Linked DNA regions of Macaca fascicularis. The protein of the gene in region 7 interacts with the protein of the main gene of each other region in a pairwise test. Links are inferred from orthologs where the notes say so. Each region holds a gene or a part of one and is shown on either strand. Other genes may lie near its edges. The genes, in order: SLC35H1, NKG7, STX8, UNC50, AQP5, TMEM51 and CREB3.

Region 1 (4,172 bases), on a different chromosome or scaffold from region 7:
GTTTTGCTCTTGAAGCCCAGGCTGGAGTGCAATGGTGCAATCTCGGCTCACTGCAATCTCCGCCTCCCAGGTTCAAGACATTCTCCTGCCTCAGGCTCCCAAGCAGCTAGGATTACAGGCATGCGCCACCACGCCCAGCTAATTTTTTATATTTTTAGTACAGACGGGGTTTCTCCATGTTGGTCAGGCTGGTCTCGAACTCCCAACCTCAGGAGATCCGCCCACCTTGGCCTCCCAAAGTGCTGGGATTACAGGTGTGAGCCACCATGCCCGGTCGCATTGTTGATTTTTCAAAAATTATGTGTAGGCTGTTTTTATTAATCATATGTTTCATTTTAGGGTAATAAAAGGGACTGTTACAAAATATTTGTAATAAAAAAGAGGTTCAATGCTGACTTTCCTTCACAGACCTGGCCCAGGTCCCTTGCCTCCAAGAAGCCCCTATGGCTACCCCGCCTACAAGAAGCACGTCTCAAAGTTAACTCATTTTCTTATTGGGATTCAGAAGGTCACCTGTGCACAGACACAAAGCCAAATCTCAGCTAGAAGGGTCCTTGGAGATCATCTAGGCACTTAATGGGCATTTATTAAGCGCTCCTGTAGGCCTACCACTGGAGACACAGACATGAAACTGAAGGTCCCCACCCTTATTTTATAAGGGAAACAAGATTTAAAGGAGTAAATCCTCTTTTTGAAATCTCATTTGCTCAGGAAACAAAGTCCATATTCTGCCCCACTTTCCACAGAGAGCAGCTTAGCTGGAGGCAGCAGTCACATCAAGGTAAGGCTGGCTGGTGCATCACTGTCGCACCTGCTTCCCTCAATCTTTCTAACTGTAACTTGGGCAGCATGGTTTAGCGCTTAAGAGTGTGGGCTTTGGAGTTAGAGACTGATAATCAAATCCTGGTGTCCCTGTGACCCTAAGTTACTTGACCACTGGACTCAGTTTTTCCAACTGTAAAGTGGCATCAGGTACAGCATTAAATGCTGGCTCATGATAGAGGCTTACTCCCCTCCTGGTCCCCTTAAGAGTGAAACTTCCCCAGAAGGCCTCGCACTGCCAGCCCCACTCATGCACTCCCTGCCCTCACTTCAGCCCATCTCTACTGCTCCACTGAGTCACCACACCCTCCTCTCTGCTGCCCCTTCAAAGGCGTAGTCTCTATTCTTTTTTTTTTTTGAGATGGAGTTTCATTCTTTGTTGCCCAGGCTGGAGTGCAATGGCACGATCTCAGCTCACCACAACCTCCACCTTCCAGGTTCAAGTGATTCACCTGCCTCAGTCTCCTGAGTAGCTGGGATTACAGGCATGTGCCACCACGCCTGGCTAATTTTGTATTTTTAGTTGGAGACGGGGTTTCTCCATGTTGGTCAGGCTGGTCTTGAACTCCCGACCTCAGGTGATCCACTCACCTTGGCCTCCCAAAGTGCTGCAATTACAAGCGTGAGCCACCTCGCCCACCGGCTTAGTCTCTATTCTTATCTTACACAATGGATCACTTCCTTCTCCTAGAAAAAATCTTCTCTTAGGTGCTACGATACCACACTCTCCTGGTTTTTCTTCTGCTTTTCTGTACTCTTTCTTGGCCTTTTTTGCTGGCACCTTCTTGTCAACTCAATCTATAAAAATTGGGTGCCTAAAGCTTGGAACCTGGCTTCTCTTCTCTCTCAAATCTTACCCTATATAATCTTATCCTACCCAATCCACTTGCCAATGATTTCTAAATTCTTTACATCAGCCCTGACCTTTTCTGCATCAGACTAGTATTATCTAACTGCCTATTTGGTAGCTGCACTCCAAATATCTAAAACTTAAGATGCCCTAAAAAGATTTCATAATTATTTCTCACGCTCCCAATCTATCCCAGAGTCATTTAGTAAATGCCAGCATAATACACTCGGTTACTTAAGCCAAAACCAAAAATCTATGATGAAATCATCTTTGGCCACTTATTTCCGTCATTTCTCAAATCCTGCCCTGTCAGTTCCACCTTCAATACACTTCTTGACCCCTCTACTTCTCTTCCTCTCCATTCCCACTACCACAGTCTGCTGACTGCCACTCGTCTAGCTGGTCTCCCTGTTTCCACTTTCGCCTCTAAGGCCTGGAAACTATAAAGCAGCCAGAGAGATGGCCTAAGCACACAGAATAGACCATGCCCTAAGGCTAAGCCCAGCTCCTCAGCCTGGTCCACAAGGAAGGCCTCTGCAACCTCATTCTTCTGCCACTGGCCCCAGCACCCGCCACAGCGGCCCCCTGCCACGTGTCAAACACATCAAGCCTGCGTATTTCTTTACTTGCTGTTCTTTATGTCTTCAGTACACTTCCGCAGACCTCCGCTGGGCTGAATACTTTCCCCAATGCCCCACCCCTCCCAATCCTCGTGGCACTTCCCACCTCTGACGTTTCCTTGTTTGCTCACGTGTTTACTGCCCGCCCCAATCCCACCGCGGGAAGCAGCCTCTCAGAAGGCAGAGCCGTGTCCGATTCCGGCCTGGGTCCCGCACCCCAGCACGTCGCACGTGCTCAAGAAATACCAGATGAGCCGGCGTCGGGCAGAAGCACGGCAGGAGAGCGCTTGGAGACCCCTGCCCCCTCCACAGACGGCGAAACTAAGGCCCGGGGAGGGGCAGGGGCGTGGCGTGCCCCATGCCAACCCGCGCAGAACCCGGGCGGGGCGCCCGCTTCCCGTCTCCAGCCCCGGCCCCCCAGCCCCTGGGAGTGCGCCGGGAGGCCTGCCGCGCACACACTCACCTCGGCCTGGTGAGCTCCCGGCCGGAATCTTCCCACCGGAAGTGCGAGGCCGGATGCCACCGCCGAACCGCGGCAGGGGCGGTAACTTCCGCCGGAAGCTACCCAGGGGCTGGGCGGAGCCGGGGCGAAAAGGCAGCACGGGGGCGGGGCGGGGCAGCACAGGGGCGGGGCGTCTGCTGTGGTCCGGTTCTGAGGTGGTCGGGTCCTTCTGGGGTACAGCGCAGTTTTGTCCTCCGCGGAGTCTCTCAGGCTCAGAGCACAGCAGTGTGATTGCGTCTCTCCTGCGCTCAATCAGGGGCTTGCTTTGGAACCCTGGTACCTGCTAGTGTTCTGCATACAGTGGGCATCCAAAAAATGGTCACTTGTTTACTTTTACTGAACAAATTGTTTTTCTTATGTCCAGTCTAGTGCTAGGCAACCATGGAATGAACCACGAAGATAAGTATCTCATGGGCTTTTTCTTCTGGGAGCTCAGGCCGGCTGGGGCCGTTACAACTTAAAACTTAGGCGATCCAGAAGTAATACGAAACATTTGTGAAATATTTTCTGTATGAAACTTTCTAAGAATTATCTCAACTTCAATAGGTTGAGTAGGGGGAGAGCATCCCAGAAAGAGGAAATGGCAGAATCCTAAAAGAGGGTGAGAAGCCTCCAGCCGTGCCTGGGGCTCAGGTTGTTTATAACTGTGGTGGTTAAAGTAGTCAAGAGGCAGGTTGCAGTGGCCCCAAAATGCCAGCCTAGGGCGTTCATATTTTCTTCATCTTGCGGGATGGATTAAAAGGGCAGCATTTACAGTCAAGGAGAACATTGGGCCAGGGCAAGCTAGGGTTGCACATTCAGACCCAGTTTTGTGCCTTTTGCCCTCCTCTAGCCGCCTCCTGGGCTCTCCGGCAGTAAGACCAGCTGCAAACATGGCTCCTTACAAGTGACTCAGCTGGGATCCCTGGCCTCTCTGAACAGAAGGCTCAAGGCCAGAGTGTAAGTGTTTTGTGCAAACTGCTGCTGTCACCGCCGCCAGCTGGCATCATGCAGGCATAGTTCATTCAGTGCTTACCAAGCACCTACAATGGTACCCATCACTGCCCAAGGTCTTGGCTTTATTCAGTCCTCAAGGCTTGTATTGCATACACTTTCTATGCCTTTTGAAATAGCTTGTCCTCACACCCTTCTCTCTTAGGGGCAAGAGAAAGTATCCATTTTCATCACCACCCTCATTCAAGTCTCCCAGCTACCAAGGCCAAGGTTTGCAGCAACAGCCTAAAACACCAGCTGGAAGGCTGGGCACTAAGCACAGGCAACACACAGGGTAAAGGGCATGTCTTCTTTGTAAGGCACAAGTACTCGAGCTGTTCCCTGGCTGTGTCCCTGGCAGGGAGAAGAGGGAGGATGTGTTCATGGGGGTGTACAGTATGCCTTA
Region 2 (3,106 bases), on a different chromosome or scaffold from region 7:
TAACAAAAGCTGCCTGAGACTTGGTAATTTATAAAGGAAAGAGGTTTATTTGATTCACAGTTCAACATGGCTAGGGAGGCCTCAGGAAACTTACAATCAAGGCAGAAGGCGAAGGGAAAGCAAGGTACCGTCTTCACAGGGTGGCAGGAAGAAGTGCCAAGCGAAGGCAGGAAGAACCCCTTAAAAAACCACCATATCTTGTGAAACCTCACTATCACAAGAACAGCAGGGGGGAACCCGCCCCATGATTCAATTACCTCCACCTGGTCTCTACCTAGACATGTGGGGATTATGGGGATACAATTCAAGATGAGATTTGGGTAGGGACACAAAGCCTAACCATATCACCCTGTTTCACAGAGGCCAAGTTTTCCTGGGTCTTCTACGTGGGCTGTGGTACCTTCACCTTACACCTGCTCACGAGTGAGGTGTTGCCAGGACCTGATGTTGGTGTGGATGGAAGAGGCTAACGTTTCAGGGGCTGGAGAACCCTCGACCGAAATCCTTATGTCTCCCAACACCCCCTAGGCCTCCTGATCCTGGTGACAAAGGCCACCAGGCTGGAGCCCCCACCAAAGCAGAGATGCCACTGAACTCATTATATCAGATGAGGATGTGGGTATGTCTGCCTCTCTGCAAACCTTTCAGAATTGTGATTCTCTGCTGTTTACCTGCCCTCGGCATATGCTCCAAACTGCGGCCCAGGATTCTGAGCTCCCACCCGCCCCTTCCTCCCTCGGGACCTGGAGTTCAGGACCCCAGCTCCTTCCTCCTTAAGCCCCAGGAGTTCTAACTCCCAAGCCCCCTCCTTTAGTAGAGACCCTAGACTTGGGGCCTTCCTCTTCCAAAATGGAAGACTGCAGAACCCACAGGAAAGCATGACACATCGCCAACTGTCCCCTCCAGCCACATCTCCCCTCCCACTTAACGCATACCCCAGCCCGATTGGCTTCCTCCCACCTCAGGGCCCCCAAGCCTCTCTCTCTCTCACCTCTTCCAGGAAGCCCCAACTTGGTGTTGAAGGTTCCAGGGGTGGGAGCTGTAGAACCTGTGACAGAGGCAAGTTCTAAACCACCACCCAAACCACTGATGATCTGACACCCTCAGTGCCCTCCCCCACCACACACTAAGCGGGGAACCGGACCCCGGGGAGGGGAGGGAGGACGTTGCCTGTGCAATCCAGGAAGGGAGGGTATGTGAAAAGCCAGTTACCGGGAACTGTGTGAAACCAAACCAGCCTCATCTGACAAAGCACACGAACCCTCACTGCCCCGACTGCTTGCTGGTCTCTCTTTGTTGAGCTCCAAGGACCCAGGAGTCTGGGTGCACAGCCTCCTTCCCTCTGAGATTCAACAGTCTGATCAGCAGCCTCTTCCTCCTCCAGGACCCAGAAGCCCCGTGCTCACCCCCATGGAGCCCTGCCGGTCCCTGGCCCTGCTTGTGGGCTTCCTGGGCCTGATGTTCTGCCTGATTGCTTTGAGCACCGATTTCTGGTTTGAGGCTGTGGGTCCCAACGACTCAGCTCACTCGGGCCTCTGGCCAACGGGGCATGGGGACATCATAGCAGGTAAGGGGAATGGGTGTCCTGCGGAGGGGTTGCCAGTGGGGATGGGTGTTCAGTGGTCTTCTCTCGATCAGGCTACATTCATGTGACGCAGAGCTTCAGCATTCTGGCTGTCCTGTGGGGCCTGGTGTGCGTGAGCTTCCTGGTCCTGTCCTGCATCCCCTCACTGTCCACCCCAGGCCACGGCCCCCTTGTCTCAACCATCACAGCCTTTGCTGCAGGTAAGGACTCTGGACTGGACTGGGGCATCGGGAGTCAGTGAATTCCTGCCGAAGGGTTGAGCTATCTCTCTTGTCCTTGCCCCCAGCCCTCTCCATGGCAGTGGCCATGGCGGTGTACACCAGCGAGCGGTGGGACGAGCCTCCACACCCCCAGATCCAGGCCTCCTTCTCCTGGTCCTTCTACCTGGGCTGGCTCTCAGCTATCCTCTTGCTCTGCACAGGTGACTATCCTGTCCACTGCCCTGGGGAGCTTGGGAGGGCCAATAGGGGGCCCTGAGGATGAAGGGCAGGGGCAAGTGCTTAAACTCTTTCTGGCCTCCCAGGTGCCCTGAGCCTGGGTGCTCACTGCGGCAGCCCCCGGCCTGGCTATGAAACCTTGTGAGCAGAAGGCAAGAGCGGCAAGATGAGTTTTGAGCGTTGTGTTCCAAAGGCCTCATCTGGAGCCTCCGGAAAGTCTGGTCCTACATCCGCCCCACCCTTTCAGCCCTTCCCCAGCCCCTCCGCTTGTTTCTTCATTCATTCAACAAAATTTGGCTGGAATCTGGCTATTCTGAGATTAATTCTGCCAAGACCTAAGCCAACCGTCTGCCAGCTCCATGGTAGGAGCTGAGCACCAAGAGAAGGTGACAGCCCACGAGGCCGACCAGCCTGCAGGGCGCTCCTGCCCAGCACAACTGCCTGGCCTGTGTGGATACAGGCTCCAACCTGGGTCTATCTCTCCCCTTCTCCAGCACTTTTCTTTCTCCCTTTAGCTGGCTCTCTTTCCTTCTCTTTCCCTCTCTGATTTTGTACCCCTTGCCAAAACTCAGCCCTTCTTTGCACGCAGTCTCTCTCAGTTCTTTTTGCACATTTCCCCATGCTGGGGACACTAGCACGGGTCAGACCCAGGACCTGCCTGCCAGGGCCTCAGTCTGTGGGGTGGTGGGGAGGAGGCACTTACAGACCAGAAGCAGTTAATACAGGCCAGACAGCAGTCCCAGTGCAGGGAGAACACCAGAAAAAGACTAACCATATTGTGGAGGGATGGAGATGACTTTTCTGGAGAGAGAATGTTTAGGGGCTTCTTAAGGGCCAAGGAAAGGTAATATCCAGGCAGAGGGGCCTGAAGATGAACGTGCAGAAAAGTCAGGAGTCTTGTGGGAATGAAGAACGGTAATGTATGGCCAGGATATAGAATGTTGGGGGCAGGAGATGGAAAATGAAAAGGGAGAGGCAGGTGGGGGTTATGGCCTCTAATGTCATGCTGGATTTTCTCTTGAGCATGATGGGAAGTTGGGAAAAAATTGGAGGCAGAGGAGGGACAATATCAGCTCTGGGTACC
Region 3 (3,500 bases), on a different chromosome or scaffold from region 7:
GTTAACAAAGCAGAAAATTCAACCAAAGAATGCCAAAGACATGTTCTGACTTCACCCACAGTCTCCCTTAGTATGTTCCACCCAAGATGGGATTCAGCTGAACATACCTGGTTTCCTAAACCTAGAAAATTAACGAAAACTAAATTGAGTAGAATATTATAGTCCAGCACCATAAATGAATAGAATAGATTTTGATTGATTTAATGCCTAAAGTAAGGCATTCAGGAAATAGCTGTAATATTTGCAAAGAAGTCTTCGCCCACCAAGTAATCCCTGTAAATGAAAACATCCTACCTGATTAGATCTGGTTCGGCACCCTCATTCTTAAAGGATGCCAGAAGTAGTCTCTCCCGAGTTACAAGATCATCCAACAGGTTCTGTCTTCGGTCCCCTTCAAGCTGTGTTCTGCGGACATCTTGTTAAGGTCCAATGGTGAATAAATGACCTCGTGTTAACTATTACATTATTAAGTTAGCTCTTCAAGTCAGTTGTGGCTTTTACAGACTGTAATCACTACTACCCAGAAGGGATGCTCACCATTTCACTCCTGTGGTTTTCCTACTCTGACTTTCACCTTCATCAGGTCATCAGGTAAAGGACCTTGGCAGGACCATCACAGAGGGACTTACAAACACTGATATGGATCACGACACAAGTTCTTTCACTGAGAAACATACCAGGTAAATATTACTTTGCTCCCCGTGACCAAACTATTTATTTTTGAGACAGAGTCTCGCTCTGTCACCCAGGCTGGAATGCAATGATGCGATCTCGGCCCACTGCAACCTCTGCCTCCCGGGTTCAAGCAGTTCTCCTGCCTCAGCCTCCCCAACAGCTGGGCTTACAGACATGCAACACCACACCCAGCTAAGTTTTGTATTTTGTATTTTTATTAGAGACAGGGTTTTGCTGTGTTGGCCAGGCTGGTCTTGAACTCATGACCTCAGGTGATCTGCCTGCCTTGGCCTCCCAAAGTGCTGGGATTACAGGCATGAGCCACCATGCCCAGTCCCAGTGACCAAATTTAAATGACTTTTCCTGCCAGTGGTGCAACCTGGCTCAGTGATTCCTTAGGTTTTGAGTTATATGTGTCAGTGTTGCAGGGCGTTTTCCTACATATTAATACCCTAAGATGCTCTGTTTAAAAAACTGGGAGCGCTGGGGGAGAGAAATTCTCTATATTGTTCTCTTTCTTCCATGTTAATATCTATTAACACACCTAGAATATTTATAAAGTGCTACTTTATGCACCAGATTTGCTCTATAAATTGTTACCATCAGTTCACTATTTAAATACATTGCATGATCTGTAAAGAAAATTATAAAGAGAATAATTTTAATGTGTGATTCTAGCAAACATGCTAGACCAGGAGCCCCAAAGGCAGAGTTGTAGCCCTATTCTTACCATTATCTATGCTCTTGAACCAGTTATTTCACCTTTTTGGATCTCTCTCTCTTTATATGTAACACTAGATAATCTCTAACATCTTTTCCACAACAGTTCATAAGTGGTGGTTAAAACCAAAAACCATCCTTCTGGGAAATGTAGTCTTCGCAAAGAAACCTACAATTCACCAATAGGTGGACGAGAGTGCGGCGCGTGCGCAGAGGCGCGCATGAAGCAAAAAGGGAAGTGGCGTCTGTCAACAACCGGCACCGCTACCCTTGGACTAAGTACAAAGTTTTACATACTAGCTTTCTTGATGCAAACTACAAAAGTACAAAAGTGTTTACTTTTTTTTTTTTTTGGAGATGGATTCTCACTCTGTCTCCAGGTTGGAGTGGTGCAGTGGCGTGATGTCGGCTCACTGCAACCTCCGCCTCCAGGGTTGAAGCGATTCTCCTGTCTCAGCCTCCCGAGTAGCTGGGACTACAGGCTCCCACTACCATGCCCAGCTAATTTTTGTATTTTTAGTACAGACGGGGTTTCACCATGTTTGTCAGGATGGTCTCGATCTTTTGACCTCATGATCCGCTCGCCTCAGCCTCCCAAAGTGCTGGGATTACAGGCATGAGCCACTTCACCTGACCTCATACATTCCTTTTTTCTTTTTTCCGTTTTTTTTTTTTTTTTATTTGAGACAGTGTCTCCCTGTCACCCAGTCTGGAGTGCAGTGGCATGATCTTGGCTCACCACAACCTCCAGCTCTGGAGTTTAAGCGATTCTCCTGCCTCAGCCTCCCAAGTAGCTGGGCTTACATGCGCACGCCACCATGCCCAGCTAATTTTTGTATTTTCAGTAGACATGGGATTTCCCCATGTTGTCCAGGCTGGTCTCGAACTCCTGACCTCAAGTGATCCACCCACCGCGGCCTCCCAAAGTGCTGGGATTACAGGCGGGAGCCACCACACGCCCGGCTGCCTCATATATTCTTGATAGTAATGCAAACAGGTTCAACCAACTGCTAAACTGCCTTCTAAATACCTAACAAAATGTAAAAGGTACAGTCTTTCAACAGACATTTCTCCTGCAGATACAGTCATACAAGGACTTAGAAGCAAGGATGTCCACTGAACTATTATTTATAATAGCCACACTGGAAATATCAGTAAGTAACTAGTGTATCTGTACAATGGAATGTTTTGTAGCCTTAAACCAAGAATAGGAAAGCTGCTTAGGGGGCTGATAATGATAATTAACATTTCTGAGCACTTACTAAGTGTTTACATGAATTATTTGACATGGAGTAATCTACAAAATATAACATTAAACCAAAAGAGGAAAAACAACAGCAGCAGCAAGGAGCTAAACAGTGAACAGTATGCTCCCACTTTGTTAAAAAAAAAAAAAAAAATCGTATCTGTATACGTGTGTATATATACACAGAACATTTCTGATATATAAACATTGCCTCTAAGGAAAGACAACTAGGGATTAAGGGTATAAGGGAGACTGATGTTTCACTGAATATTGTTTCCTAATGTTTGTCTCTATCATCTGCTAATCAATAAAAACACAAGCTTCAGAACCATATGTATAATACAATCCCTTTATAGTCAAAAGAATTTCTTATTTACATATGCATATATTTCCAGCCTAGAAAAGCCTGAGACACTAGCTACCAACCATCAACACTTAACTATGAAGAATGAGATGAGACAGAAAAGAATAAGGAAGAGAAAGAGGAGTCACTGGGAACAACTAATGAGAAATGTATCAGTAGAAAGTATAATACGCTTTGTAATAAAAACAATAAAGGTACATTTTAAAATCAGCAGATACTAGTTACAGATTTAAACAAAGAACATCAGTTTCAGAAACAGTAAAACTTGATGATGATGTTTTGTCGATGAGTAACCAAAGGACGGAAACCCACACAGTAGATGCTAGAAGAGGCCTTAATCCCAATTCTCTTGTTTTGCTGACCAGAAAATTAAGGACCAGCATGGCTAAGTCACTTGCATGGGTTAACAGCAATGCTAGGTGAGAGCCCAGGTCTTTCTACCCTAGCTCACGGCTTTTCCACCAAACATTCCGGGGACTTCTCCACCTTGAGGTG
Region 4 (4,163 bases), on a different chromosome or scaffold from region 7:
TTAGTAGAGACGGGGTTTCACTGTGTTAGCCAGGATGGTTTCGATCTCCTGACCTCGTGATTCGCCCGTCTCGGCCTCCCAAAGTGCTGGGATTACAGGCTTGAGCCACCGTGCCCGGCTAACAATGTACTTCTTACACATGGTGACTGATATCTCAAGTCTCCTTAAAATGTGTAAGAGCAAGCTGTGCCCCGACCACCTTGGGCACATGTCCTCAGGACCTCCTGAGGCTGTGTCACCGGCGTGTCCTTAAACTTGGCAAACTAAACTTTCTAAATTGAGACCTATCTCAGATATTTTGGGTTCAAAACATAATTATTTCAATTATTTGCTATATTTGACAATATAAACCAGTCTTTATTTTCTGATCTAGGTGGCAACACAGGAGGGCAAATTGTAATAATCTTGGCAGTCAAAATCGATCATTCAGTGACTCTACCTTGGTTTCAATTTCCATCTGCTGCCATTGTAGCTCTGAAGCAAACAAATGGAGATGCTACAACAGTATCTGAAAAACCAAAGTTATGGTACTTACCACATTAAAGTTGCTATCAGAAGACCAACGCCTACACAATCTATGAATACAACCCAAAGGAGAAGCTTTATTGTCTCAAAGAATCCCATGTCCAGCACAAAGCCAAATCCTATAGTGGACACTGAAAGAAAGATTCACAAGATTCATTTAGGGACTCGGCTAGGTTCTGGAAATACAGAACACATCCCTTGCCCTCCAGATGCCCAGGCTAGTGGGAGAGACAGGTCTGTACACAAAACTCCCAAGATGTGTGAACACCACCTTGGAACAAAGCGTGGCCACTGAGAGAGTTGGAAGTTTCCTGAGGTGGGCCCCTGCCAGGCTGATTCACCACGGTGGCCTCAGTATTTAGAACGCCAGTCTAGAGAAGGCACTAACATACCTTAAGTCCAGTTAAGGTGCAAAACACCCTGTAAACTTCAATATCTTACCCACCTCAACACCCTACAGGTAAATGAGACCCTTGCATTATGGAATTGGAGAACTTCAGTTTCTCAGGTTCACATCAATACTTTTACAATTCTCACTCTGGATTTGCCTGACTGAAATGCAATTTCCAGTTTCATATTCCTTTTCACAGTCAGCTGCATACTGGTTCACAGTAGTTGAAAAGATATGGAGTGAATTTCGTCCCCTGCTTTTCAATGTCCTAGGGTAACAGTTTACTCTGGTATCTGCTTGGGACCTGTAGAACCAAGACTACGACTTTCTTTCCTGTGAGATTTTTGAGGCTTCAGTAAAAAGGAGAAATAGTTTCCAATATTTCCAGATTCTGACCCACAACACATTTATAACAAATAAAAAGTCTAATCAGAAACGCTAAGCGTTCAATTCTGTCTCAGACACACACACTTACCACAGAGCCAGACACTTAACAGGACCAAGAAAGCAGGGTCATCTCTGGCCCACTGGTCCTTCGTCTGTTTTCGATAATGAAAATTTCTGTAAACTCTCTGTGGGGATGTGAACAGGTAGAGCATCTGCCAGGCAGCAAATTCAAAGTCCATCTGCCGAAAGCGGAAAAGCCTTCTCAGATATTTGTAGCGTTTCGCTCCGGCTGTGTGTCTTGCTGCATCCCTGGAATTCAAGACTCCGTTCCCCTGCACTGAGGAATTCACTGAAGTACTCGGTAACATCTTCCTAGATGGAAGAAAAACATTTCTTTTACACGTATGCTGAAGAAACTTTTGGCTACGGGCACCCCTCTTCTGAGTTACTTGGCAGGGAGGTCACTTTCCATGTTCTTCCCAACCCTAGAGAAAGGCCAGGAGTCAAAAGCAAATGCAGTTGGTTCTGAGGCGGGGCTTGGGGCTTGGGAACCGCAGCCTGCAACCTCAGGCAAGGGCAACAGCTCACCCTTCTCAATCACTTAATAACACATATCCAGGGGCAGCTACCATCACAGAGACGGGGATGATGTGACAGCCCCATGACTCCAAGAAGAGTGATAGAGCCAAGATTCCAAATCTGACTCGAAATTCCGTGCTCTTAACCACCAAGCTTTTAAGAAAATAACTAAGAAAGCAATGTTTCAGCCGGTTAGAACAGTGTTACCGAAAAGGTAAAACAAATGGCCTATTCACATAGATCCATCAGCGCACTGCCAGCAAGCTCCTCGGTCACTAGAATGAGATTAAAAACCAAGCAAAACTCCGATCCCTAGTGTTTTACATCCGGAATAGGTCACCAGAGGGAGCGGTAGCGTCGGAGTCCAGTCCAACCGGTCCGAGCTCCGGGGAGCGCCGGCCACTGCCCGGCTGCCCGTCTCCCCTGCACTTCGCAGGCCCCCGGGACGCCGGCAGCGCCTGACCGGGCCCAGCTGCTCCCTCCCTGCCCGGGGCCGCGGATACGGCCGCCAGGTTTAGCAAATAAAAACAGAATGCCCAGCTCCGTGTGGAGTTCAGACAGGCCACGAATAAGGTTTTAGTACGCCTACATCCCACGCAACATTTCGGACATGCTAATACTAAATGCTCTTTATCTATGATGCAAAGGTAACTGGGCGTCCTTTCATTTTATCCGCAACTCTATCGCCGGCCGCGGGGCCGGACGCCGACATGGTCACTGTCAGGCCGCAGTGATATCAGGTCGCAAGCTGTCGGGATTAAATGGCCCCCGGCGCGAACCCGGGCTGCGGGAGGACAGAGCGGTCCTCAGGCCTCACCTGGAATCCTGCTACAGCCTCGAACCGCGTCCGAACCAGCTCACCACCTCCTCCCAGCAGCCGAGCCCAGCCGCCACAGGGCGGGCTTCCCTTCCCGCAACGTAGCCGGCGCTTCCGGCGCGCCCCGTCACGCGCACCCACTTCCGTCGCGCACGCGCCACCTCTCGGCCCTGTAGTCCTCGGCCCGACAGCCGCGGCCCGCCGGAAGTTATTGCCGCTGGCTTCCGGCCCGCTGAGACTGGGGCCTCGCTTGCTCCCGATCCGGTCGCCACCGTTGCAGTGGAAGAAAGTAGAGTCCGCAGCGGACGGGAAGCGCCGTCATGCCCAAGTATTACGAGGACAAGCTGGAGAGCGGCGCGTGCGGAGGCCTGAAGGAGGACCTGGGCGAGTGTCTGCTGCAGTCGGACTGTGTGGTCCAGGTAGCGCGGCCGGGCGCTCCCGGTGGTGACGACGCCTGCCCCGGGGAGGCCCGGCTCGGCGGAGGGCAGCGGGTCGCCCGCGGCGGCGGTTGGAGTTAACCATCCCGGGCGGAGGTCACAGCTTGGGCTCACTGAACGTGCGCAGATCCGCTGAGCTAGTTCCCCGTGGGGTTAAATCGGAGATAACGATAAACCCACCCTGTCGGGTTTTTGCAAAGATTAACCCATTTCAGTTCACGAAGCGTGTATTGCATGCTAGCACTCTGCCGGGTTCTGGAGACATAAAGGAGAATAAGCCGGGTTTCTTGCCTGCCTAGAAATGATGATCTGCAGAATTAATGATTCCAGAGAGTTGTGTAAACCTGGTACACTGCCCTGGCCAGTCGTGTCCCCTGCCCGTTCAGTTGTGACTGAATGTGTGCTCAGTTTGCCTTGTGTTGATATGAATTTGTTTCTGAGTTACAGTTCTCTGCATTCTTGGATGTTAAGTTGTAAAAATAAAGCAACTCCATGTTTTCACGATTTGGTATCTTGCTTCCCCTACGCTCTTACTTTACTCCCCTACTACAGACACAGGTCTCCTCAGCACCCTCTCGGAATGCACTGAGGCATGTAGTGAGGTTCAGAGTGGACCTGGGTTCTGGTTTTAGAGCTCAAATAAACCACAAGTGCCTTTTCCAGTTACAGAGGCCCGACCAGAGGGCATTCAATTGTGTGCGGTTATCTTTGCATTGGGAGATGTAGTTCCAGAAAGTTGCTGTTATTTCAGAGAAAAGATTACCCCCAAATGGACATCCACTATAGGGCCGTATTAGTGTTTCTGCCGAGTCACAATTTTATGTTTGGTTCACTGATTTTAGCAGTCGGCCATTCTCGCCTCCCAAGGTCTAGTAAAACTTGAGTTATTATAAATTTAAGAGATTATCTCGCCCAACTTCCTTATATAAATGAGGAAACTGAGGTACCGCTGTTTTCAGGCTCCCCTGTCCGGGGCTGTGTCCCCTCTGCCCCGTATTCACTGGTGCTGCCATTCAGCCAGCTCCTG
Region 5 (3,926 bases), on a different chromosome or scaffold from region 7:
GGAGAGATGAACAGAGCACCTCTCCCCTCCACATAGGGATAGAAACAGACCCTGGAGAGAGTGACCATGAGCTCTCAAAGGAGGGGGCAGACAGACTGTCCACAGGGACAGACCCACAGGAAGACTCTCCCAACCCCCTCAACAGGGACAGATAAATAAAACATCAGAGAGGACCAGCACACAGACACCCAGAGCGACAGACACCAAATCCTCAAAGGAATTGACACAGAGCCCCCCTGCACCTCCAGCCTCTTCCCTAAGGGGACAGATACTTATACTCCCTGTCCCCAGGGGTTCAGGCCATACAAAGCCATCTCTGCCCCTGTGGCTGAATCCCATCCCCTTTCTCTCTCAGCCACCGCTCCCTGGCCCACCCCCAAGCTCTGGGCCCACAGAATCCAGAAGATTCTGTGGTGAGCTCTGAGCTGCCACTGCTGGGTCTCCAGGCCCTCATCTCCAGGGAGCCAGGGGAGGGGACAGACTCACCCAGTGAGCGGGGCTGAACCGATTCATGACCACTGCAGGGCCAAAAGAACGTGCTGGGTTCATGGAGCAGCCAGTGAAGTAGATCTGGATAGAGACAGGGCGGTGGAGAGAAAGGCAACATCCCAGTCCACTCCCACAGAACCTGGACTCTCCCAAGGTTACACTGCAGTCCAGGGGCTCAGCCAGGTCTCAAACTCAGGTCTCCTGATTGCTGGGCTGGCAACCCCTCCCTCCAAGGATCCCAGCTGCCCGGTTAACCATGGACCCTTAACGCTGCCCTCTTCTCTTCTCTGCTCTGAGGTTGGGTTTGATTCCTGTCCCATCCCACCTCCTACTTACTCCCATCTTTCCTCAGCCCAGAGGTTCTGGGGGGATCAATTCTGGGGCCCAGTAGGGCCAGAGTCCAGCAGCCCTAAATCCAGGTCTTAAACTCTGCTGGACTCATCAATCTGAAGTGGGCTCCGCTCTGGGGCTCCATTATTTGCCTTGAGTGCCTGCCCCACCCTCACCACAGCCCAGTGTCAGTACTGCTCACCCCGACAAGGTGGCCCAGGGTGACAGACAGGCCAATGGACAGGGCTGGGGAGCCCACAGGGCTGGTGCGACGGGAGTCAGTGGAGGCGAAGATGCAGAGTGCCAGCTGGAAGGTCAGAATCAGCTCCACCACCATGGCCTGGCCCTGCGTTGTGTTGTTGTTGAGCTGCAAGGGGATGGCGGGTTAGGAGCCTGGCCACCTTCTGGCAGTATAGCCAGGGGCTCTGGGAGCAGGGCTTTTGGCATTCAGGGACACTTAGAGCAGCTTGACACCTGGAAGCCAAGCCCCGTGGACATCACCCCAGCGAAATCATTTGTTAAAGACACTACATTTCACAGTTTGCACAGGCTTGAAGCTCAGGCCTGTAGCCAAAGGGCAGAGTTTCAGGGGAGCTTTTCCTGGACATGGTCCTATCAATGGCTCTGCCCAACCCCCAGCCCCCATAAGCTGGCATTTACCCTCCATCCTGTGGGCAGCTGCCCGGTTTGCCTGCTTCACACCCCATCCCCGCCTCCTGCCCGTGTCTGGCCCCATGCCAGTGCCAACCTTAAACCCGTCTCTCCAGTGCGGCTGACTCACGGCTTGACAATGGCCAAGCAAATCCTTCTCTGTGTTTGATTAATGAACCCAGTTTGCATGGGGTTGGGGGCTGACTCTGGGGCTGCAGGAGATGGGAGGGAGGCAGGGATGTGGGGTTGCGGGGAGGAGCACAGGTTGGGGAAAGCGGAAACCAATACTCAACGGAGACTGCTCTGCACTGGCACCACGTTAGGGGGTTCCTATCTGTGGTTTCTAAATGTGAGCCCCTTGACACCTGCTGTGGCAGGCACTACCATCCCCATGGAGGGGCTGAGAACAATGAAGCACAGACAGGCCAGGGTCACCCAAAGCCGGGATGACAGCCCGCTTCTCTCTGGTGGTTCTACTCAAACGCTCCCCTGAGGAGATGGGAGAGGTGAGGGGCCCAGGAGGAAGGTGGGGCTCAAAGGTGAGACAGGAGGCGGCAGAAGTTTCTGGCAGGAAAGGAGGGGCAGCAGGCATTGGAGAGAGACCAGGGTGGGCCAGCATGTGGTGGGGGGCAGAGGAGGTGGGCAGGAAGGGGGCGCACATCAGCCTGGAGAGTCGCCTTCCTGGCCTCTGGAGGCTCTTGCCTTCCTGGTGAAGGGTGTGGGCTGGACCACTCTATGACACCCCTTTTTCCAGGTGAGGTAAGAGGCCTGGTCCTGAGCCCACCTCAGGGTCGCGACTCCCATCCCCCCAGGGCACTCACCGCGTTGATGGCCAGATTGCCCCGGGCATTGAGCGGTGCCACACCGTAGAGAATGCCGGCCCCGGCAATGGCGCCCACCAGCTGGGCCGCCACGTAGAAGAAAGCCCGGAGCAGCGAGATCTGGTTGCCCACCAAGAGGGCCAGGGTGATGGCAGGGTTGATGTGGCCGCCGCTCACGGGTCCCAGGGCCTGGGCCAGCGTGCCTATGGCCAGGCCAAAGGCCAGCGCGATCTGCAGGATGGTGGGCAGCGCCGACGGCCACTTGAGGGCCGAGCCCAGGCCGAAGAAGACGAAGATGAGGGTGGCCAAGAACTCGGCGAACACAGCCTTGAGGAAGGCCACGGAGCACACCTCCTTCTTCATGGTGGCCGCGGGGGCCCGGCGGCGGCGGCCGCGGCGGGGGGCGCCCGTTGGGTCGCAGGCGGCTGACGAGGTGGAGGCGGCGGGGACGGGGGCCTGGCTGGGTGGCGCCGCGCTCTGTCCCGCACCCACTGCGAGGCTGGCGGCCTGGCGCGGGCCCTGCTGGGGCGCGCTATATAGGGGGCGGGGGGCCGGGCGCGGGGCCGGCGCGGGGGGGGAGGGGGCGGCTCCCACGCTCAGGGGCCAGCGCTGCGCACGGGTTGGGAGGCTCCCGGCAGCCGCGGGCCCGCCGCTCCCCGCCGCCCAGCGCAACCTCGGCGCGACCCCCGCCCCCCGGGCCGGGCAGCCGCCTGCCCGTCCGGGCCACGTGACCCAGGCGGCGGTGTAGACGGGCCCCGTGTCCCGGACCCCGCGCATGATGCGCCCAGGTTGGCTCCCGCGCTCCTCGGTGCCGTGCGCTCCGGACTCCCTGGGAGACGGGGCTCGGTCCCGGCGCTTAGCTCCTACCTCAGGGCGTCTAGCTCCGCCGGCCTTTACCGCGCTCCGCGCGCGGGTTTCCCCTTTTCTTCTCTTCGGGCTTTTGGTCCAGCTCCTCCTTTTCCTCCTGCGACCGGAGCATCCTGACCCGCCTTACCCCCGGCTGGGTCGGAGTGATGCTCGTCCCGCAGGTCGGCGCCGCTCACCTCCCTCACTGCCGGCGGCGGGGGCGGGCGGCCGGGCTGGGTCCTGCAGGGCGGTCCGGCCGGCCGTCGTGGGCCGCTCCCGGCCTGGGCCGGGCGAGCTTCTGGGCTTGGAAGGCTGGCGTTTTGGGAAAAGTGGGCACCGTGCCAGCCTGCCCCGATGCTTTGCAATCCTCGACGCCCGGTAGCTGGGCAGTACCTACACTAGGCAATGGACCCCTGGAGGCGCCCTCTCCCAGGCCGGGTTCCCCTTGTCGTCTTGACGGGAGGGGGGTGTGAGGCGAGGCCTTGAGACTATGGGAGTGGGAGAGCAGGGAGGGTAGAGGCGCACCACTGACCTCCCAAGCGCGGTCTTGGCGTCTCCCCTCTTCCTGCTAGAAGCCCCTCACCCCGGATCTAAGACTCTCCTTCTCTTCCTCCACCTCCCCTCGGTCTCCTTCAAACCCTCACTTGGTGTTGGTCTCTCTCCCCTCGAAATCTGTTTCTGCCAGTCAGTCTTTGCAAAATCCTGTTTCTCTTTTTGTCTCTGTCTTTAGTCTCTGTTCCTCTACCTCTGCCAGCCTCTTCCGGTCTCTCTCCGTAGGTCTCTTTCTCA
Region 6 (3,946 bases), on a different chromosome or scaffold from region 7:
TTCCTCCCTCGGCTAGGGGCTCCCTGAGACTCCTGGGCTCTGGATCAGTGGGGCAGACCCCAGATACCCGAACAGGGAGGCAGATACCCGAACAGGGAGGCAGATACCCGAACAGGGAGCTGTCAGCTCCGAAGCCATGAGGAGCAGATTCACCAGCAGCCTCCTCTCTTTCTCTTTCTTTGGCCTTTTCTCCTAGTCTGGGGGTACCTGTCAATTGGTGGAGTGAGATATTTGAAGGGACAGGGGCTCTGTCCCAATAGGTCAGGACCCTCCTGCGACAGGTTTCCGGGGTGTGAAAGCTGTTCACGGTTCCAGGGCCAAAAGTTCCCTAGACAAGCTGTTCTCCAGGTAACCCATTCAAAAGGAAAGCCAGAAGCCGGCAGGCCCTAGAGGGGCAATCCTTCCACCCGCTGACCCACCTCCGCCGGTTCGGGTCCCGGCCCCGCCCACCTCGTCCCCGCCACACCACTCCGGCAGCGCCCGGGTTCCCAGCAGCCAGACCTCCAGCTCTGTTGGGAAGGACCTGCAGTACCACGCACCGTCACAGGCACCTCGGAACGCTGCGCAGGGCACCCCAGGGCTGATCCCTGGGGAAACCGTGGGGGGAAGGGTCAGGTCTCTCGCCCCCACCCCTGGTTGGGAAAGAGACCATTATCCTGTAATGCAGACCTGGCACGCCGGGCCAACCGCCTCCCGTTTGTGCGCTGATTTGAGATCAGATTTATGCGTAACCGAACTTACCGCGGAGTGCTTGCTGGGTGCTCGGCATGAATGCCCCGCCGCACCCTGGGACGTTATCATGTCCATTTCACAGATGAAGAAAGCGATCGATGCGCTCAGGGAAGGACTTTAAATCCACTTTGCTCACGCCAGATTCTTTACCCCCGTGTTTGCTTGTAGAGCGACACACACACACACACACACACACGCACACACACACGAATCTAAATCCCTAAAAGGACCCGACTTCCATACAGTAAGGGATGCGCGAGCAAAGCGCCAAGGTGGTTTCCTGGGACCTACTAGGAATTTCTGCTCCTAACCACGCGCTGAAAGCGCTTCTGACGAGGCCAAGGGTTCGAAGCCCGCCGGGCGGAGAGCACCTGTCCCCGCCAACAGGGGGCCCCCAAGGCCAGCTGCCTTCACCAGCCGAGGCCAGCTGGCCGGGCGCGGTGCCCGGGAGGCGGGAGTGTCCCGCACCGGCGGGGCGCGGTCGCAGAGGGTGCGGGGTGCGGAGTCCTCCAGGTGGTCGACCCCAGACGGGAAGCACTCGGCGGACGGACGGACGGACGGACGGACAGGCGACCCAGACGGGCCTCGGCCCCCTTACCCGGCCCGGAGGGGAACGCACAGCGCTCCGCGGGAAGCGGCGGGCGCAAGGCGCGGCGGCTCAGACTCACCCGGGAGGCGGCGGGTCCGGCTCCGTCTCGGCTGGGCGGCCCGGGGCTGGGGGCTTCGCGACCCCCGCGCCCCACCCGGGCGGCCTCCTCGGGGGGCGCCGCGATCGCGGGGCTGGGATTCGGAGGATTCTCAGCCGAGGGAACGCGGTGGCGGAGAGAGCGAACTGCCCTCTCGGGGACCGCGATGGGGACGCAGGAAGCGCGGCCTGGGAGCGCCGGCGTGAGGGAGGGAGGGACCGCGGGAGGAGGAGGGCGGCGCCGGCCGGGAGCAGCCTCCAGCCCCGAGAAGCACCGCCCACCGGCCGACCCTACCTCCCGGCCCTCGGCGCCACCCCCGGGCCCGAGGCGAGGGATCGCAGCTGAGCAGGGCGGGCACCCACTCCCCAGCGTCCGCCGCTGGAGTACGCTGAGTGCGGGCCGGGGGCTGGGCCTAAGTTCTTCCCCACCCTTGCCAGCCGAGTTGGATAAGATGGGGCCGGGAGAAAATAGAGCCCTGCTCCCCCATCCTCCCTAGGGCCCAGATAATCGGTGTGCATGCGTGTGTGTGTGCGCGCGTGTGTGTGACGGGTGGTGGTCGGGGAATGTCTCAAGCCAGAAGTCCCAGGTTTTAGGGATTTAAGTAGAGCTGGGAGACCCGCTTCCGTCCCACACCAGGTGCAGACGCCGAGGCACAGCTCCGCCAGCCTTTACCTGGCGAGACACTCACCTCTCCTCCTTCCTGGGGAGGCCACCGCCTCCTTCTCCCACTTCTGCCCTGGGCTGGTGCCCAGCGAGGTGAGTGATGGGCAGAAGTAGGGAAGGAGGAAGCAAGTTTTTAAAAACCGAGTCAGCTCACCCCCTCGTCCAGGGTCCCCACCTGATGCCTGGTCCCCAGGGAGCTCTCGGGCTCGCACGCCTGAGTCCCCGTCCAGGTGGGGCCCATTTCGGGTTCTTGCGCGCGGGCACTGGATGGGGGCGCGCTCCACCGGGAGCTTCCCCTGCTGAGGGCTCATCCCCAGCTTTGCCGAGAACTTTCCCGGCAAGGCACCGGCTGGCGTTCTCCCAGCCCGCGAGTGGCAGACGGGCAGCCAGTCTCTGTTCGGATCCATGGAGGCCCAGAGCTGCCGCCGAGTCCTGGCTCCGGGGAGGGCAAACCCGAAGTCTGCGCGGACGCCTCTTACCCGCGGTTCTGCCTCCGCCCCTTGGAGATTTGCCCTCGGAACCGCATTGCTCTGGCGCCCGAACTAGGGTGGGCTGGTTTCAGCCAGACCGCCAAAAAACGTGGATTCTAAACACAGAGGGAAGAGCCAGCTCCCATTCCCTCGCTCAACCTTAGATTTTTTTGAATTCCGAGAGAGGTCAGGCCGGGGTCCCCTTCTTGGGTGAGCGTCTAGCCCTTTGGAGTTCAAACACTGAGAAGCAGATAGGCAGCTGGCGGGCGTCACAGGATCGAGCCGAGGACCGAAGGCGCCTCCTACCGGGAATCCACCGCCTCCAGACGAAAATAGGCTGCAATCAAGTTCACTTCCAAAGGCGGAATTCATGGGTACATATGGTGTCCACGTGTGTATACCTGCAGAGTGGAAACATGTGGGCATTTCTCCCCCCACCCCGCTATTCTGGCTCCTTAACTTGCACCCTAACAGCTCAACAGAACCTTGGCGTCCACAAAAAGGCAAGTTTGGATCTGCCTTATGATTTGGGGGTGGGAAGACATTTGGGGAAACAGTCTCCATGTCTATAACAGCAACTGCTATTCCTCACCTACTTACTATGAACCACGCACGGGGTTACCACCGACATCCCCTGAACCATCTCATTTAATCCTCACAACCTGGGAGGTGGTTATTGGTCATGCCCACTTTATGGAAGAGAAAGCTGAGGCTGAAGGAGGTGAGGTCATTTTGCCCAATGAAAACACGGCTGGGAAGTGTCAGGATCTAGACCTAGGTTGGTCCACTCCAGAGCTTCTGCTCTCCCTCCCATAGCATAATTCATACTGTCTGCACATACTCTCCACGCTGGGAGAAGTTTCACCTTGCCTGGCCACCTGCAAATGCTGAATGAATATTTGTTGGATGAATGAAAGCCCCAAATAATAACCCATGATTTTAGTGAATGGGGAGAACCCTTTGTGTAGGCATGTACTTATAATAATACGCTCCCATTTAAGAGCTGTGTGTGTTCATCCTAAAGTTTAGACAATGCATGTGGGGACCTTCCCAGGCTCCAAAGGAGTGACAGGAAACAGTCACGTAGCTCTCAGATAAGACCAGGAATCTGGTTTTCATTTGACTCTGCAAGACGGACTTTGGAGAGGCCTGGGGTGGGGGCAGGAGGGTGATAATGTCAGAACTGCAGTCCCAGCTCCTAATCTGAAGGCAAAGAGCTGCTGTACTTTTCCATGCCAGGATCATCCCAGACCCGCCCCACTCTGCTGCAGACCCAACTGGGCAGGTCTTGTGTATCACAGGATATCATCTTCAAAGTGTTCCATTTAAGCAGGCTCACCCTGGCTGATCTGGGGAGTGGCTGACGAAATTCTCAGCCAAAGCTGAGGCCCAGGC
Region 7 (4,267 bases):
GAAATTAGTTTGTTATCTCTCTGGGTGAAAAGAAGCCCCTGTAACTACACAGGAATAAAGGACTTCCCTACAAAAGAAGGGCATTTACCTACTGCCAACCTCTTAAATTTCATCTGCTCAAGGCCAACTATGCTAGCCTCAATTACAACCCCTAAAGTTGCCCCAAATTCCTAACATTAACCCCACCTCTAATTTGTTTCCTGATTCCCACTACCGGCTTGGACATTCATCCCTTTCCCAGCAGAGACTCATATCCAATCCCTGATCCCTGATACTGATCTAAGTTTTACCTTTAGCACCAAATCGCCTGATGTTAACCCTAAATGTTGACCCCTAAGCCTAAAGTTCATTTGTAACTTGATTCCTAACTCACACTTTCACTGTTTATCCTTAATACCGACCATGTCAACATTCTTTAATCCCTCAAACAGGCTCTAACCTGATTCCTGTTGTTGACCCTTAACCCGACCCTGAACTCAAATTATGACGTATGATGGCCATCCCAGCAAACAAAATAATGACCTTAATCTAAACCTTACCTACCTAAAACGGACCTGACTCACACTACTAACTCTTAAGTTTTAACCCCAGCTTTTAACTCCTATAGCGACCCTTGATTCCTAAACGGACCCCACCTAATCCCCAACTCACCCAAAGCTTTCCTACCCACATGGCCGCTATCAGCTAACACCAAAGCCCGTCCCCGTCCTGCGCCCCGCTGCCACCCGACTCCTCACGCTCCCCAAAGCCTATCCCAGGCAGAGGACTGCCCCCAGGAGAGGCCTGTCTCCCCTAAGACGGCCTACTTCACGATGAGCCCAAGTTGAGATGCGCTGGACGCTGACCTCTCCAACTAACAGAACCCGAACCGGACACGCAGGAGAGGCAGGGCCCCGCCCGCCCCCGGGGCCAGGCTCCGCGGCCCCACCCTAAGGCCCCCGCCCGGCCCGGTCTGGCCTACCTGCGCTGCCCGGCTCTGCGCCCCGCCTGCCGGCCCGCCGGCCCGCTGCCCTGCCGCTTCTCGGGTCGCCCTCGGGCTCCGGCCTCGCCCTCCCTTCGACACTCTCTCGGCCACTTCCGTCCTGGGAACGTCCCCCACCCGCGGGCGGCGCCCTGGGGCAGCGCTCTATGGTCGCGGGGGGCAGGCAGGAAGCTGCTCTGGCCGCGTTCTCGATGCTCGGGGGCCGCCAAAGGCCGGCAGCCCCTCCCTGGCAGGAAGCGAGGGTGCGGCGCAATCCGGAGAGAACGCCAAGACGACGCCCGAGTTCCCTTTCAGGCCAGAACTCTTCCTTTTTCTAGCTTGGGGGAGAAGGCGGAGCCGGAGCCCTGGAACCCCCGCCCTCGGGGTGCGAGGCGGCAGCAGGGCCGTCCCCTACATTTGCATAGCCCCTGGGACGTGGCGCGGCACCCAGGCCTCTTCTCAGTTGGAGGGAACTCCAAGTCCCACAGTGCCACGGGGTGGGGTGCGTCACTTTCGCTGCGTTGGAGGCTGAGGAGAATTGAGCCTGGGAGGCGGGTCCGGAGAGGGCTACGGAAAGCCCCCGGCCGGGAAGCCCGGCCGTAGAGGGACAGTGGATAGGTGCCCGAGGCCTACAGCTGGCCTGGGGCTCGTGTCTGGGCTTCGGACGTTGGGGCCCGGTAGCCCACCCTTTCCGTAGTTGTCCCAAATGGAGCTGGAATTGGACGCTGGTGACCAAGACCTACTGGGCTTCCTGCTAGAGGAAAGTGGAGATTTGAGGACGGCGCCCGATGAGTCCGTGAGGGCCCCACTGGACTGGGAGCTGCCGCTTTCTGAGGTGCGTTGGGGTTCTGACTGGGGAAAGCGTGGGATGTCCATGAGGTCAGGGGATGGTGATAGGTCAAGGCCTGTTCACTGGAACCCTGCGCAGGTACCGAGCGACTGGGAGGTAGATGATTTGCTGAGCTCCCTGCTGAGTCCCCCAGCGTCGTCGTTGAACGTTCTCAGCAACTCCAACCCCTGCCTTGTCCACCATGACCACACCTACTCCCTCCCACGAGAACCTGTCTCTATGGATCTAGGTGAGTCTGAAATAAGTTTGCGGGGAGGACAGGGTTCATGGGCCTGGCTATTCATACGTTCCCTTTTGCAGAGAGTGAGAGCTGTAGAAAAGAGGGGACCCAGATGACTCCACAGCATATGGAGGAGCTGGCAGAGCAGGTACTTGACTTGATTTTCAGGAAGATTACTCTCACATTCCTCAGGTGGGGGCAGGATTCCCCATTCCTCTGTGACATCCCCATGCAACTGCCGCCCACTTTCTGGTTACCCTAGGATATTGTTAGGCTGGTACTGACAGATGAGGAGAAGAGTCTATTGGAGAAGGAGGGGCTTATTCTGCCTGAGACACTTCCTCTCACTAAGGTAAGACTCTCGTTAGTTGAGCAAAGGCTGAAAAGGGATTAAAAGTCTCAAGTAGGCCAATTCTGTTAACTTTATATCAATAACTTTAAAAAAGGATTGAGGTGAGAAACTTAGCAGATTTATTGCTAATAGGAAGTTGAGGCAGGTACCCAATATGCTAGATGCAAGGCAGATCCTCATTTTCGTTGGGCTTACACAAATTTTGGTGTTCTGTTAAAAAACAAACAAAAAAAAACCCTCAAAATTATCAGTGCAACATTAGTATTGGGCCTTGGAAAGGACTGTGTAAGTGAAGGGCCTTGACACTTCATTGGCTTCATAGTAATCCACCTCTTGCTGAATGGTAGAACTGTTTAGAGAGTTCAACACGATTGGACTAAGCAGTACATGAATAAATGCAAAATCCTTAGTTTCCAGTTTTAAGCAATCAGTGGCAACTTCACAAGCAGAGTACTGGGATACTATGATGAAATCAGTGCTCATTAATAGAAAGGTTCCAGGAATTTTTTTTTTTTTTTTTGACAAGGTCTTGTTCTGTTGCACAGGCTGGAGTGCAGTGATGTGATCATGGCACACTGCAGCCTTGAATTTCTGGGCTTAGGTGATTCTCCCACCTCAGCCTCCTGAGTAGCTGAGACTACAGGTGCACACCACCCTGCCCGGCAAATTTTTTTTTTGGTGTTTTTAGTAGAGATGGGGTTTTGCCTTGTTGCCAGGCTGGTCTTGAACGCCTGTGCTCAAGTGATCTACCCACCTTGGCCTCCAAAAGTAAAGAATTTTAATTCCTTCAAAGTACAAGATGAGTCAGCAGTGCGATGTGGCTACTAGGAAAGTTAATGGGATTTGGAAACTGTAGCAAGAGTTATTGTCTCCACAAGTCACTATCTTGCTTTCCTTTATACTGGCTAGAGCACATCTTTGACAGATACTAAGAAGATGCAGTCTATCCTAAGAAGATGAGTTAAAATTTTTGTCTAAGCTGTTTTTTTCTTGAACTTTTTTTCTCTGAGGAAATGTCAAATGCCTGAAAATAGCTTAACAGGGTTCATTCTATTTGGCCCCAGAGATACTAGGTAAGTCCAACGTATAGAAATTATAAGGAGACAGCTGTTGGTTCAGGATAAGGAAGTTTTTGTTTGAAGACAGATTCTTGCTTTACTGCCCAGGTTGGAGAATAGTGGTGAGATCATGGCTCACTACAGCTTTGACCTCTCAGGCTCAAGCGATTGTCCTTCCTCAGCCTCCTGAGGAGCAGGGACCACAGGCATGTGCCACCACACCCGGCTAATTTATTTTTAGTAGAGACAAGGTCTCACTGTGTTGCTCAGGCTGGTCTCAAACTCCTGGGCTCAAGCGGTCCTCCTGCCTTAGCTCCCCAAAGTGTTGGGATTACAGGCATGAGCCATGTCACTTGAATATTGCCTGACCAATTTTTTTTTTTAATAGTTTAAAATGGTCTGGCTTGTTAGGGTTAACACGTGCTCCGTGGAGGCATTCAGAAAGAATGTGAATGCCTATTGGTCAGGGAAGCTGTAGAAGGGATTTCTGTATTGGAAAGAGATGGATCTCAGTTGCCTTTCAACTTCTTGTTCTAGAGTCCCTCTAATGATACCCCTTTCCCTGTTTCCTTTCAGATGGAGGAACAAATTCTGAAACGTGTGCGGAGGAAGATTCGAAATAAAAGATCTGCTCAAGAGAGCCGCAGGAAAAAGAAGGTGTATGTTGGGGGTTTAGAGAGCAGGTATGAAAGGGAGAGGGACTCAGTTTTAAGTGTTAGGTTTTTGAAGGGAGGACACAGGCCATATCCCCATATCTTTGTTATTTCCCCCAGGGTCTTGAAATACACAGCCCAGAATATGGAGCTTCAGAACAAAGTACAGCTTC

What was found.
Region 1: the proteins of CREB3 (region 7) and SLC35H1 interact in a two-hybrid assay, tested with the Homo sapiens proteins (2 studies listed by BioGRID and IntAct). The link is inferred for Macaca fascicularis from reciprocal best matches to the Homo sapiens genes CREB3 and SLC35H1.
Region 2: the proteins of CREB3 (region 7) and NKG7 interact in a two-hybrid assay, tested with the Homo sapiens proteins (2 studies listed by BioGRID and IntAct). The two-hybrid records come from large-scale screens. The link is inferred for Macaca fascicularis from reciprocal best matches to the Homo sapiens genes CREB3 and NKG7.
Region 3: the proteins of CREB3 (region 7) and STX8 interact in a two-hybrid assay, tested with the Homo sapiens proteins (3 studies listed by BioGRID and IntAct). The two-hybrid records come from large-scale screens. The link is inferred for Macaca fascicularis from reciprocal best matches to the Homo sapiens genes CREB3 and STX8.
Region 4: the proteins of CREB3 (region 7) and UNC50 interact in a two-hybrid assay, tested with the Homo sapiens proteins (2 studies listed by BioGRID and IntAct). The two-hybrid records come from large-scale screens. The link is inferred for Macaca fascicularis from reciprocal best matches to the Homo sapiens genes CREB3 and UNC50.
Region 5: the proteins of CREB3 (region 7) and AQP5 interact in a two-hybrid assay, tested with the Homo sapiens proteins (2 studies listed by BioGRID and IntAct). The two-hybrid records come from large-scale screens. The link is inferred for Macaca fascicularis from reciprocal best matches to the Homo sapiens genes CREB3 and AQP5.
Region 6: the proteins of CREB3 (region 7) and TMEM51 interact in a two-hybrid assay, tested with the Homo sapiens proteins (2 studies listed by BioGRID and IntAct). The two-hybrid records come from large-scale screens. The link is inferred for Macaca fascicularis from reciprocal best matches to the Homo sapiens genes CREB3 and TMEM51.

Annotation. Positions count from the first base shown.
Region 1 is NC_088384.1:102,412,422-102,416,593, forward strand, and holds the start of SLC35H1 (solute carrier family 35 member C2), read right to left. Parts: upstream 2,801-4,172; 5' UTR 2,299-2,800; intron 1-2,298.
Region 2 is NC_088393.1:59,178,279-59,181,384, reverse strand, and holds NKG7 (protein NKG7), read left to right. Parts: upstream 1-1,224; 5' UTR 1,225-1,410; coding exon 1,411-1,567; intron 1,568-1,638; coding exon 1,639-1,785; intron 1,786-1,871; coding exon 1,872-2,006; intron 2,007-2,108; coding exon 2,109-2,167; 3' UTR 2,168-2,606; downstream 2,607-3,106.
Region 3 is NC_088390.1:9,633,452-9,636,951, forward strand, and holds part of STX8 (syntaxin-8), read right to left. Parts: intron 406-3,500; coding exon 295-405; intron 1-294. UniProt on the Homo sapiens protein: Vesicle trafficking protein that functions in the early secretory pathway, possibly by mediating retrograde transport from cis-Golgi membranes to the ER.
Region 4 is NC_088387.1:3,060,404-3,064,566, reverse strand, and holds the start of UNC50 (protein unc-50 homolog), read right to left. Parts: upstream 2,801-4,163; 5' UTR 2,700-2,800; intron 1,676-2,699; 5' UTR 1,672-1,675; coding exon 1,392-1,671; intron 657-1,391; coding exon 536-656; intron 1-535. Other genes in the region: COA5 (cytochrome c oxidase assembly factor 5), read left to right, coding at 3,020-3,118. UniProt on the Homo sapiens protein: Involved in the cell surface expression of neuronal nicotinic receptors. Binds RNA.
Region 5 is NC_088385.1:56,790,383-56,794,308, reverse strand, and holds the start of AQP5 (aquaporin-5), read right to left. Parts: upstream 2,801-3,926; 5' UTR 2,655-2,800; coding exon 2,292-2,654; intron 1,187-2,291; coding exon 1,022-1,186; intron 571-1,021; coding exon 487-570; intron 1-486. UniProt on the Homo sapiens protein: Aquaporins form homotetrameric transmembrane channels, with each monomer independently mediating water transport across the plasma membrane along its osmotic gradient. Plays an important role in fluid secretion in salivary glands.
Region 6 is NC_088375.1:220,127,676-220,131,621, forward strand, and holds the start of TMEM51 (transmembrane protein 51), read right to left. Parts: upstream 2,801-3,946; 5' UTR 2,561-2,800; intron 2,531-2,560; exon of another isoform or gene 2,489-2,530; coding exon of another isoform or gene 2,236-2,488; intron 1,593-2,235; exon of another isoform or gene 1,401-1,592; intron 94-1,400; exon of another isoform or gene 1-93.
Region 7 is NC_088389.1:63,665,254-63,669,520, reverse strand, and holds the start of CREB3 (cyclic AMP-responsive element-binding protein 3), read left to right. Parts: upstream 1-1,467; 5' UTR 1,468-1,667; coding exon 1,668-1,796; intron 1,797-1,889; coding exon 1,890-2,040; intron 2,041-2,111; coding exon 2,112-2,179; intron 2,180-2,293; coding exon 2,294-2,383; intron 2,384-4,017; coding exon 4,018-4,124; intron 4,125-4,214; coding exon 4,215-4,267. UniProt on the Homo sapiens protein: Endoplasmic reticulum (ER)-bound sequence-specific transcription factor that directly binds DNA and activates transcription. Plays a role in the unfolded protein response (UPR), promoting cell survival versus ER stress-induced apoptotic cell death.